Nothobranchius furzeri: one gene and its partner. The protein of the gene in region 2 interacts with the protein of the main gene of each other region in a biochemical or structural test. Links are inferred from orthologs where the notes say so. Each region holds a gene or a part of one and is shown on either strand. Other genes may lie near its edges.

Region 1 (3,817 bases), on a different chromosome or scaffold from region 2:
TGTCTCTCTGCGGGTCGGTACCTGTTGATGGAGAAAGCCGCTGGCGTTGAAGCTTCCTTCTCAAGTTTCTTCACCTAATAACAAAAAATTTCTCCGTTCAGCTCGCAGCTTCTGTTTCCGGCAGAATAGTTTAAAAAGAACAAAAAAGGAAAACATGTTTCAACATCAGATCAGCGTCCTGGGCACGACACCAGGAACACAACCAGAGATCACAGCGTCGTCATCTCCTCTGGGAGGAAGGTGAGTGAACAGACCGTCATGATGGAACCACTCAGGGTCAGGTGGTCCATCAGACGCACAGCAGCAGCAGGGTACAGGGGTCCTCCGACCTCCTGAACAGCTCCTCCCATCAGATCGAACTGTGTGTGTGTGTGTGTGTGTGTGTGTGATGTCCTACCTGGCTCCTCTCATCTGAATGTTCTGGACAAACCTGTGTCAAACTGTGGGCGGCTCAGAATTTACAAACAGGAAATCAGTGTCACCACTTCCTGTTTCTGCAGCAGCTGTGGAACAACTTCCTCTAAAGTCACGACGGCACCTCCCTCCCAACCCCCGAGCAGCTCAGACTGCGTACCTCCTGCTGTTTCCAGTACAGCTGATCCGACTTCTGGAGGAAGCGTTCCAACATGTGGATGACGGCGCTGAAGATGAACTGGTACTGGTCCTGGATGGAAAAGAGAGTCCAGTCACACACCTGGAACTGGTCTGAGGTGGAGGAACGTTTCAGCAGCACCACCTGCTGACGTCCGGCCACCGCAGGTGCTTTAGCCGGGTTGGACGGGTCTCTGTTTGAGTGAAGAGTCCCTTTAATGAGCTGATCATGGTTCTGATGGTCTTAGAGACAGGCCCACTTCAGTCTGGATGTTGGAGGATCCAGTTTGACACACTGGATGGATCCTGGGTTCTTCTAGCAGAACCTCAGGAACTGTTCAAAGAATTTGGTGGGAGTTTAGGGTGTGAGGGACGAGGTCTAGCCTGGACCACTGAGCTCTACAAATCCTCAGAAAGCATTGCTTGAAGAACCATCTCCAACGAAAACTCAGAGAAGCAAATGGAACCGGGACTGGTCTGGACCAGGGACTAGTAGACTAGACTTTCAGAAATGGAACCCAGTGTCTCCCTCAGCATAAAGAGGTTGGACTGGTGGGGTTACACCACCAAACGGTTCCCGAGTGCAGCCGTGTCTGCAGCTCACCACTCCCCCAGGAGACGGGTCAAACGCGGAGAACAGGTTCACACACCAGAGTGACGACTAGCGGGTCCAGGAACTAGAGTAAGACCAGGGACTGGTGTGAGGAGCCTTCGTGGATCTGCCTACCTGGGTCTGCACTGCTGAAGGTCTCTGTTTCCGGAGCTCCAGGACGACCTTCAGGATGCTGAAGCCTTTAGGAATCTGCTGCAGAACCAACAACACAAAAGGGTGAAGAAAAACAAACGCCACAGAGGCAGAACCGCTCAGACGGTCTGGACCGAGTACCCATGTTCTAGCTGAGACTCTCAAGGCTTCATTTGGTTCTTTTGGTTGACTTGCTGTAGGAGAACCTGCTGAGCTACCAGATCCATGATGGATTCTTTAACTTCTTGTTGTGATTCAGGCCACGGAGGAACCTGGGAGCAGCTGGAGGACCTCCAACTGATCTGATGGTCCCAGATGTTTGCTCAAGTGGTTCCTGGACTTTCTAGCCTTTAAACATGAGGAGGACCCTATTTGGGTTCTGGACCCAGGCCCGAGTATTCGGAACCCTCCCAGAACCTGTCCTGGCTTACGTTTGTTTACGAAGAGATTTTTTTTAAATGAGCTTGGTTTGCAGGAGTTGTTATCATGTGTTACCGTGGCAACCAGAAGGTCATGGATGTAGTCAAGAGCACAGATGACTCCTGTCCTCCCACAGCCGGCACTATAACACACACACACACACACACACACACACACACACACACACACACACACACACACACACACACACACACACACAGACTCTAACAGATGCATTGAGCATGTTAACTGTGCCATCGTTAGCAGGTGTTACCTGCTGCATATTCACCACCTCCTGCTCTAGAGTGGGTGTGTTTGTGTGTGAGTGTGTGCATGTGTGTGTGTGTGTGTGTGAGTGTGTGTGTGTGTGTGTGTGTGCTTGCGTGTGTTACGCTGTCCTGTTAAATGTTAATGACCAGCTGACCTGTGATCAGTGCTGCTGCTACAAACAAGCTGCTGTAATGATACAAAGTCAACTGCAGTTCAGTGTGTGTGTGTGTGTGTGTGTGTGTGTGTGTGTGTGTGTGTGTGTGCACCTGCAGTGAATCAGGAGAGGTGACGGGTCAGCTCCACAGCTGCTTCTGGCTCGGTCCAGCAGGTCCAGAATTCCTGCCGTGTCAGAGGGAACGTCGTGATCTGGCCAGGATGTGTACTGGTACTGGATCACCGACTGGGTCTCCTGCAGGAGGACAAGAGGAGGTCACGGAGGAAGCAGCTTCTTTGTTTTACGTCAGAATTGGGATTGGACCTGCTGGTAGCTGACGGTCAGATTTCTGACCACGACGTCCTTGTTGGGTTTGGTCTCTCCCTGCTGGAGACACACAGGGACAGCCGGGACAAGGAGCTGAAACTGAATCTGACTCTTGTTGATTTACGTGTTAATTAAACATGACCTCTGTGTGACCTGTGGGTGAACTTACACAGCGGACAGTAAAAGGTCCGAACACGACTGGCTGGAGAGCTGCAGCCCAGTAACACTCGCACTTTCTCTGCAGGAAGGTTGCTCGGATGTTTAGTGTTCAGCTGTTTCAATCACACATCAAACAAACACGCATAAAACATGCTTTACCTTCCCCATCTCGATCTCTCTGCAGGCCATGACTATCACCTGAAACAGAGGGGTGTTAGTCAGAGGGGCCCGACTGTAAAAACCTCTGATTGGACAGTTTGACTGCTTATTAGTTTGTGATCATCCATTCACGTTAACACACACTTCAGAGATGTGGGTAGCTCATTTAATCAACACATGTGCAATGGTCTCTAGTAGGAATGAAGGCCTTGTGTGTCGTACTCCGGGGAAAAAGCGCCGGTGAGCCCGTTCCAGGAACTAGAAAGGAGCCACATCAGCTGAGCTTCAGACAACAGGATCGGGAGTCTTACTTCCTGATATTCAGATGTCTCTCCTCTGATTGGCTAACAGCAGCACGACTCTACCGCTGACTCTGTTTGCGCTGCAATGTTGATGATTTAACTCTACAGATAGCACAAGTCAAGAGGAGTTCTGCTGTGTGGTGGAGTTGCTAATGCTAACAGTGCTAGCAGAGATGTTCTCTGCTGTTTCCTGGACTAAACCAACGACAGCCTTCCCAGTCGTGAGTCCAGATGGGTGAGTCCATGAACATTAGGTGACAGTGTGACGTAGATCTGTCAGGATTTGCTAATCCTAGAGTTTCACCGTCTGTTTTCTATCAGAAGCTAATGCAGGAGATAGGTGTAGGAGACTATTTTCATGTTCAGCCTGCATGAAACCCTCAGAGTGACTTAATCATTTGAAGTGTGAACCACACTTTTAGGTTTCTGCTGCTCTGACATCATCAATCTTCTCCGGATGCAGTTGGACTGAAAAAAAAAACCCTTTTATCGTGTTAAAGGTATCAAAAACACATGTAAAAACATTTAAGTTGAGATTAAAAACACTTAATTATTCTTTAGCTTTATCGTTTATAGCTTTTATTGACTTTTAATCATTTATTGTACTAAATGATTTTTTACCGACTTTAGCGTTTCTCTATGTTGATTCTACTGTGTGATGAAACGCGTGTGTGTCCGCCACTTGGCCAG
Region 2 (4,381 bases):
AAATTGACGCATTCTAGAAGCGACACGCAGCAAAAATAGAACCCGAGCCCGTCTTTAGTGAAGCGGCGTGCCACTTCTGGGACATGCCTGGAAATTGCCGCGTCGCTGCTGGTTTGAAACATTCCTATAATGGATTCAATTTGAAGCAGTGACGTTCCGCTGCCGTTCCGCCCTGCTGATGCTTTCAGTGTGAAACCGGGATGAGGAGACATTTCAGCAGTTAGATTAAGATGATATAAAGTTTCACTTTTTTTAACCTAACGGACACTAGAGGGTGCTAAAAGCAAGCCAAAACGGCATACTACTCCTTTAAGGGCCACATTTGAGTAATTCAGAGAAATTTCCTGAATGAGGCCTTTAAAGGGCTGCGTCTATACTCTTAGAATCTGGGGTTACAATGTGTAACCATGTTATTTGTTGTTTGGTTTCTTTAAGTGTGTATGTATTTCTGCCCATTTTATTTCTTATTGTCATGATGTAGGAAGGTGAGGATCCAAATCCAGATGAATACGCTTCTGAGAGGCCACCAAGACAGCAGAAACTCTTTTATTTCAGAGTCAGGTCAGGAGTAATAGGGAAACAGGGAAGCACAAGATCAAATGATGGGGCAGGGGAGCAGATTCTGACACATCATACATAATTTGGCAAATCATTAACTGCTGCAAAGTTTGATGAATCAAACTGACTGGCTTTTTAGTTAATTTGACCCAAATTATTAACTATTTTATGTGCTAGAAAAAATGCTCAATTGATGCTAAAAATAAAGCAGCTAAAAAGTTTGAACGCTAGAGACATAATCCCCTTCATCTTGTAAAAGAAAATAAAGCAGCTTGTTTACCTTCTCGATCTGTTTGGGAGTCGCTGTGGGAGCGCTGCCCAGCCGTTCAGCCGTTTGCTCTGCCTCATCCGCCTCCTTGCAGCGTTGCTCATAAGATTTTTTTGACTGTTGATGCAGGAAACAGAGACCCAATGAAACTCTGACGCAAGAATCTATGTTCATTAGTAGTTCACTCTGAACCCTCAACAGGAAGCAGAGGTATTTAGTCAAAAAAGAAGACATGGTGCATGTTGCAAAAAAATATCACACACCTCCTTCCTCTCAACATAAACTGAAGTTTTTAAAAAGTAAAAAAAAAATGAGTCTATTTAATGTTCTTGTATGTGTAAGGTGTAAAAATCACAGGATCTGATTCTTAGATGTAGGATAGAACACCAATCACTAAGAGACCCTACCTCAATAGTTTTCTTGTAGAGAGAAACCTTCATCTTTTGAGCCTTCTCCATGCTGATTTCAAACTGGGTGACAAGACTTTTATGTTAGAAAGAAGAAATTCTTTACTTTGCGTTTCCTTGTTCTTTTACCCACAACAAAAATGGGAGGAGGGGGGAGTCGACACCTTTTTTCTCTGTTCTTTCTGTCTCTCTCTGAATTCCTCCATTCTCTTCACCTCGTCCTTTAGGAGACCAGAAAGCTGGATGTGCAAGTTCCCTACATTTTCCATTTCTGCAAAGAAAACAAAACATTATATATTAAAAAAAATTAAATACAAAAGCAGAACAGAACAGAGAAACAAGTCATGCTGGGTAATGTGGTATGATTACGTGTTTTCATGTCATCAAATGAAGTCCTCAAAGTGCTGCAGAAAGGAAGAAGAAAATAACTGCACACTCTACTTGATGCATAAACACATAACATAACATCAGACCATAAATTATGAGCATTTGGGCACGAATGAACCCTTTGGCACGCACCAAATCTCAACCAGACCACCAGCTTTTCGGGCGATTGAAACCAGTTCTTTTCCATATTTCTCCTCTGCTGAAGCTCTATGAAAACATCAACAAACACACACTTTTTAAATATTAGTTTCTAAATACAGACACAACTAACTCAACTTACCTCATTTTCAACAACTCCTCCGTGTCTTTACACGTCCGCCGACCATCATTGAGTCTCTGAATAATGGCCTCGTAACCATCACAGCTGATAAAGTCTTTTCCCTGCAGAAAAAGTGAGGTATATCTTTTTCTTTGCAGTTTAAAACACACAGTTAATGAATAATTTTAATAATAAACTCTGAAGGCGGTGATTATCAATCATTAGCTGGTGAGCATTATTCTTCTTTCCTCATGTAGGGAGCATGCCATATTTAGTAAAACAGAAACTGTTGCATTGTTGGAAAAAGCAGTGGCAGAGGTGTTAAAACTCCTCACATCTGTAAAACCGATGACTGTCTGAGAATCAAGAGCACAAAAATCTCAAAGAGTTGCCAGATTAACAGGAAATTATCTAAAAAAAGGACTTTATGTGAATATACACTCAAGGGTAGGATCGCAGCATGCTACACTATAAAAAAAGCTTTGTTACTTTTACCCATCTTTCTTCTAAAAATCAGACACGATCAAGTGATTAAGAACAGTAACAGTACAGATTAATGACTTTTCATGCAATAAAAGCTAACAGAAATCTCCAGAGGACGTCTAAAACATAAAGCCAGACTCAAAATGACTTGTGATCCAAAATGCTCATACAACAAAACAAAAAAGCATCAATAAATTTGACATCTAAGTGATGAGGTTCACAGTTCAGAAGAGATCATTGTTCCTTTTAGAACATAAAATATAATCTAAAAATGAATCAGCAAATTTCAGCCAACTCACCCAAAACGAGTCTTTAAATTGTAAAGCCATCTTGGTAGTGTTTGGTAACGTTTCCAGTTAGCGAGTCACGCTGTTGTGCCACTTGGCGGTCTGCTTCGATGCAACTGCAGCACATCAGGACACACTCAGGAAACAAACCCTCATGCAGCAACTCTCACTCGCAGTGTCATTTCATTTAAATCAGGAAGAGGTGACACAATCGAGCTCACAACAGCAACGACACTAACTCCGGCACCGAAATAGAATTAAAACTAACTTCACTTCATTTTTTAAAAACTGTTCAAGTAAACCCCAGTAAGGTGTGTTTTGATCAATTGTTTATTTGATAAATCATTAAAAGTTGTTAATGAGTTCCTCCTTATTTTACAAAGAGGATGATACAAAAACAGGGATTTCCGATCAAATGTGTCAATTCAACTGGAAAGAACAGCAGTTTGTACATTTTGTGTTGGTTGATTTGGAGGTGACTCATTTTAAAGCACTTTTGTTTGTAACATCACATTATTACATTATTAGGACACGTCATTTTTGTCACTTGTTACATAAAACATCTGCTGTAATATAAGTTTATGTTTCCACAGTTGCACAAAATACATAATCAGTCAAAAAAACTAAAATTTTGATTTAGTTAAAAACAGTGTTTCTATAAAAGATGAAAAACAAGGTTATAGTTCATCATGTGACACATGCAGCTGTCTGCCATAGTCCGTCACTTCACTGTTCATGAACATCTCTTGGTTTTTTAAAACTTCTGCCAGTGAAATCCGTTCGTCCCCATCAAGGTCCATTTCCTTTATGAGGTGAAGAGCCTGTTAATGACGAGTAAAGAAAACAGAAAAATTATTATATGGCAACTGATGCCTCCAAACAATAACTTGTAGTGGACAGCAGAGGGTTAGACAGAAATGTTACAAAAAGAATGCACCGTATAGACAGCCTAACTTTAGATGCATCATTTCTTCTTCCAGCTCTCCCACAGTTTAATTTACTGAAGTACAATAAAGACAGAATGTACTTTTGGTTGCTGTTTTTATGAGATAATGTGTAAGAACCTGTTTGGGCCAACATGTGTCACTTTGTTATTGTAGCAGATGTGTATAAAAGTAAAAAAAATGTTCCTTAATTCAGAAGATCAAACCGTTTTAGATCTAAATTATAGTTGTTAAGTCTGCTCTTAAAGCATCTGAGGCCTTTAGTACGCTGGAGCCACCATCAGTGATATGAAGAGACTGCAGCAGGTTGTACGCTCTGCTGAGAAGGTCATTGGCTGTAAACCCCTCTTCATACATGACCTGTACACCTCTAGGATATTGAGGCGAGCAGGTCGGATATCAGCTGACCCGTCTCACCCTGGACAGTCTTTTTGACTTGCTCCCATCTGACAGGAGGCTCCGAACCATTCGGACCAGAACCTCTCTCCACAAAAACAGTTTCATCCCCTCTGCGATCGGACTCGTAGAACTGCCCACTCCAGTTGCTTTATTCCAGTCACCTGACCCTAGTGTTACTGATCCACTCCGACCAGTACCTACACTGACTTGTATCTAGTAGCCACTTATCTAATTATTGCCTCCTTATATTATTATCATTTCATTGTGTTTATTTCTTAATTCTCATTTTTGCTTATCTATTTTTCTTGCACCAAGTACCGCTGCAATTTCCTAATGTTAGGATTTCTCACACACATGGCAATAAAGCCCTTCTGATTCTGAGGTGTTTA

What was found.
Region 1: the proteins of pstpip1a (region 2) and ptpn18 form a complex in vitro, tested with the Homo sapiens proteins (2 studies listed by BioGRID and IntAct). The link is inferred for Nothobranchius furzeri from reciprocal best matches to the Homo sapiens genes PSTPIP1 and PTPN18.

Annotation. Positions count from the first base shown.
Region 1 is NC_091755.1:47,287,271-47,291,087, reverse strand, and holds part of ptpn18 (tyrosine-protein phosphatase non-receptor type 18), read right to left. Parts: intron 2,865-3,817; coding exon 2,826-2,864; intron 2,746-2,825; coding exon 2,677-2,745; intron 2,568-2,676; coding exon 2,505-2,567; intron 2,436-2,504; coding exon 2,293-2,435; intron 1,899-2,292; coding exon 1,832-1,898; intron 1,397-1,831; coding exon 1,319-1,396; intron 665-1,318; coding exon 575-664; intron 75-574; coding exon 1-74. UniProt on the Homo sapiens protein: Differentially dephosphorylate autophosphorylated tyrosine kinases which are known to be overexpressed in tumor tissues.
Region 2 is NC_091744.1:68,453,275-68,457,655, reverse strand, and holds the start of pstpip1a (proline-serine-threonine phosphatase-interacting protein 1a), read right to left. Parts: upstream 2,803-4,381; 5' UTR 2,692-2,802; coding exon 2,662-2,691; intron 2,002-2,661; coding exon 1,901-2,001; intron 1,828-1,900; coding exon 1,753-1,827; intron 1,638-1,752; coding exon 1,603-1,637; intron 1,505-1,602; coding exon 1,398-1,504; intron 1,297-1,397; coding exon 1,234-1,296; intron 944-1,233; coding exon 839-943; intron 1-838. Other genes in the region: rcn2 (reticulocalbin-2), read right to left, coding at 3,327-3,470. UniProt on the Homo sapiens protein: Involved in regulation of the actin cytoskeleton. May regulate WAS actin-bundling activity. Bridges the interaction between ABL1 and PTPN18 leading to ABL1 dephosphorylation.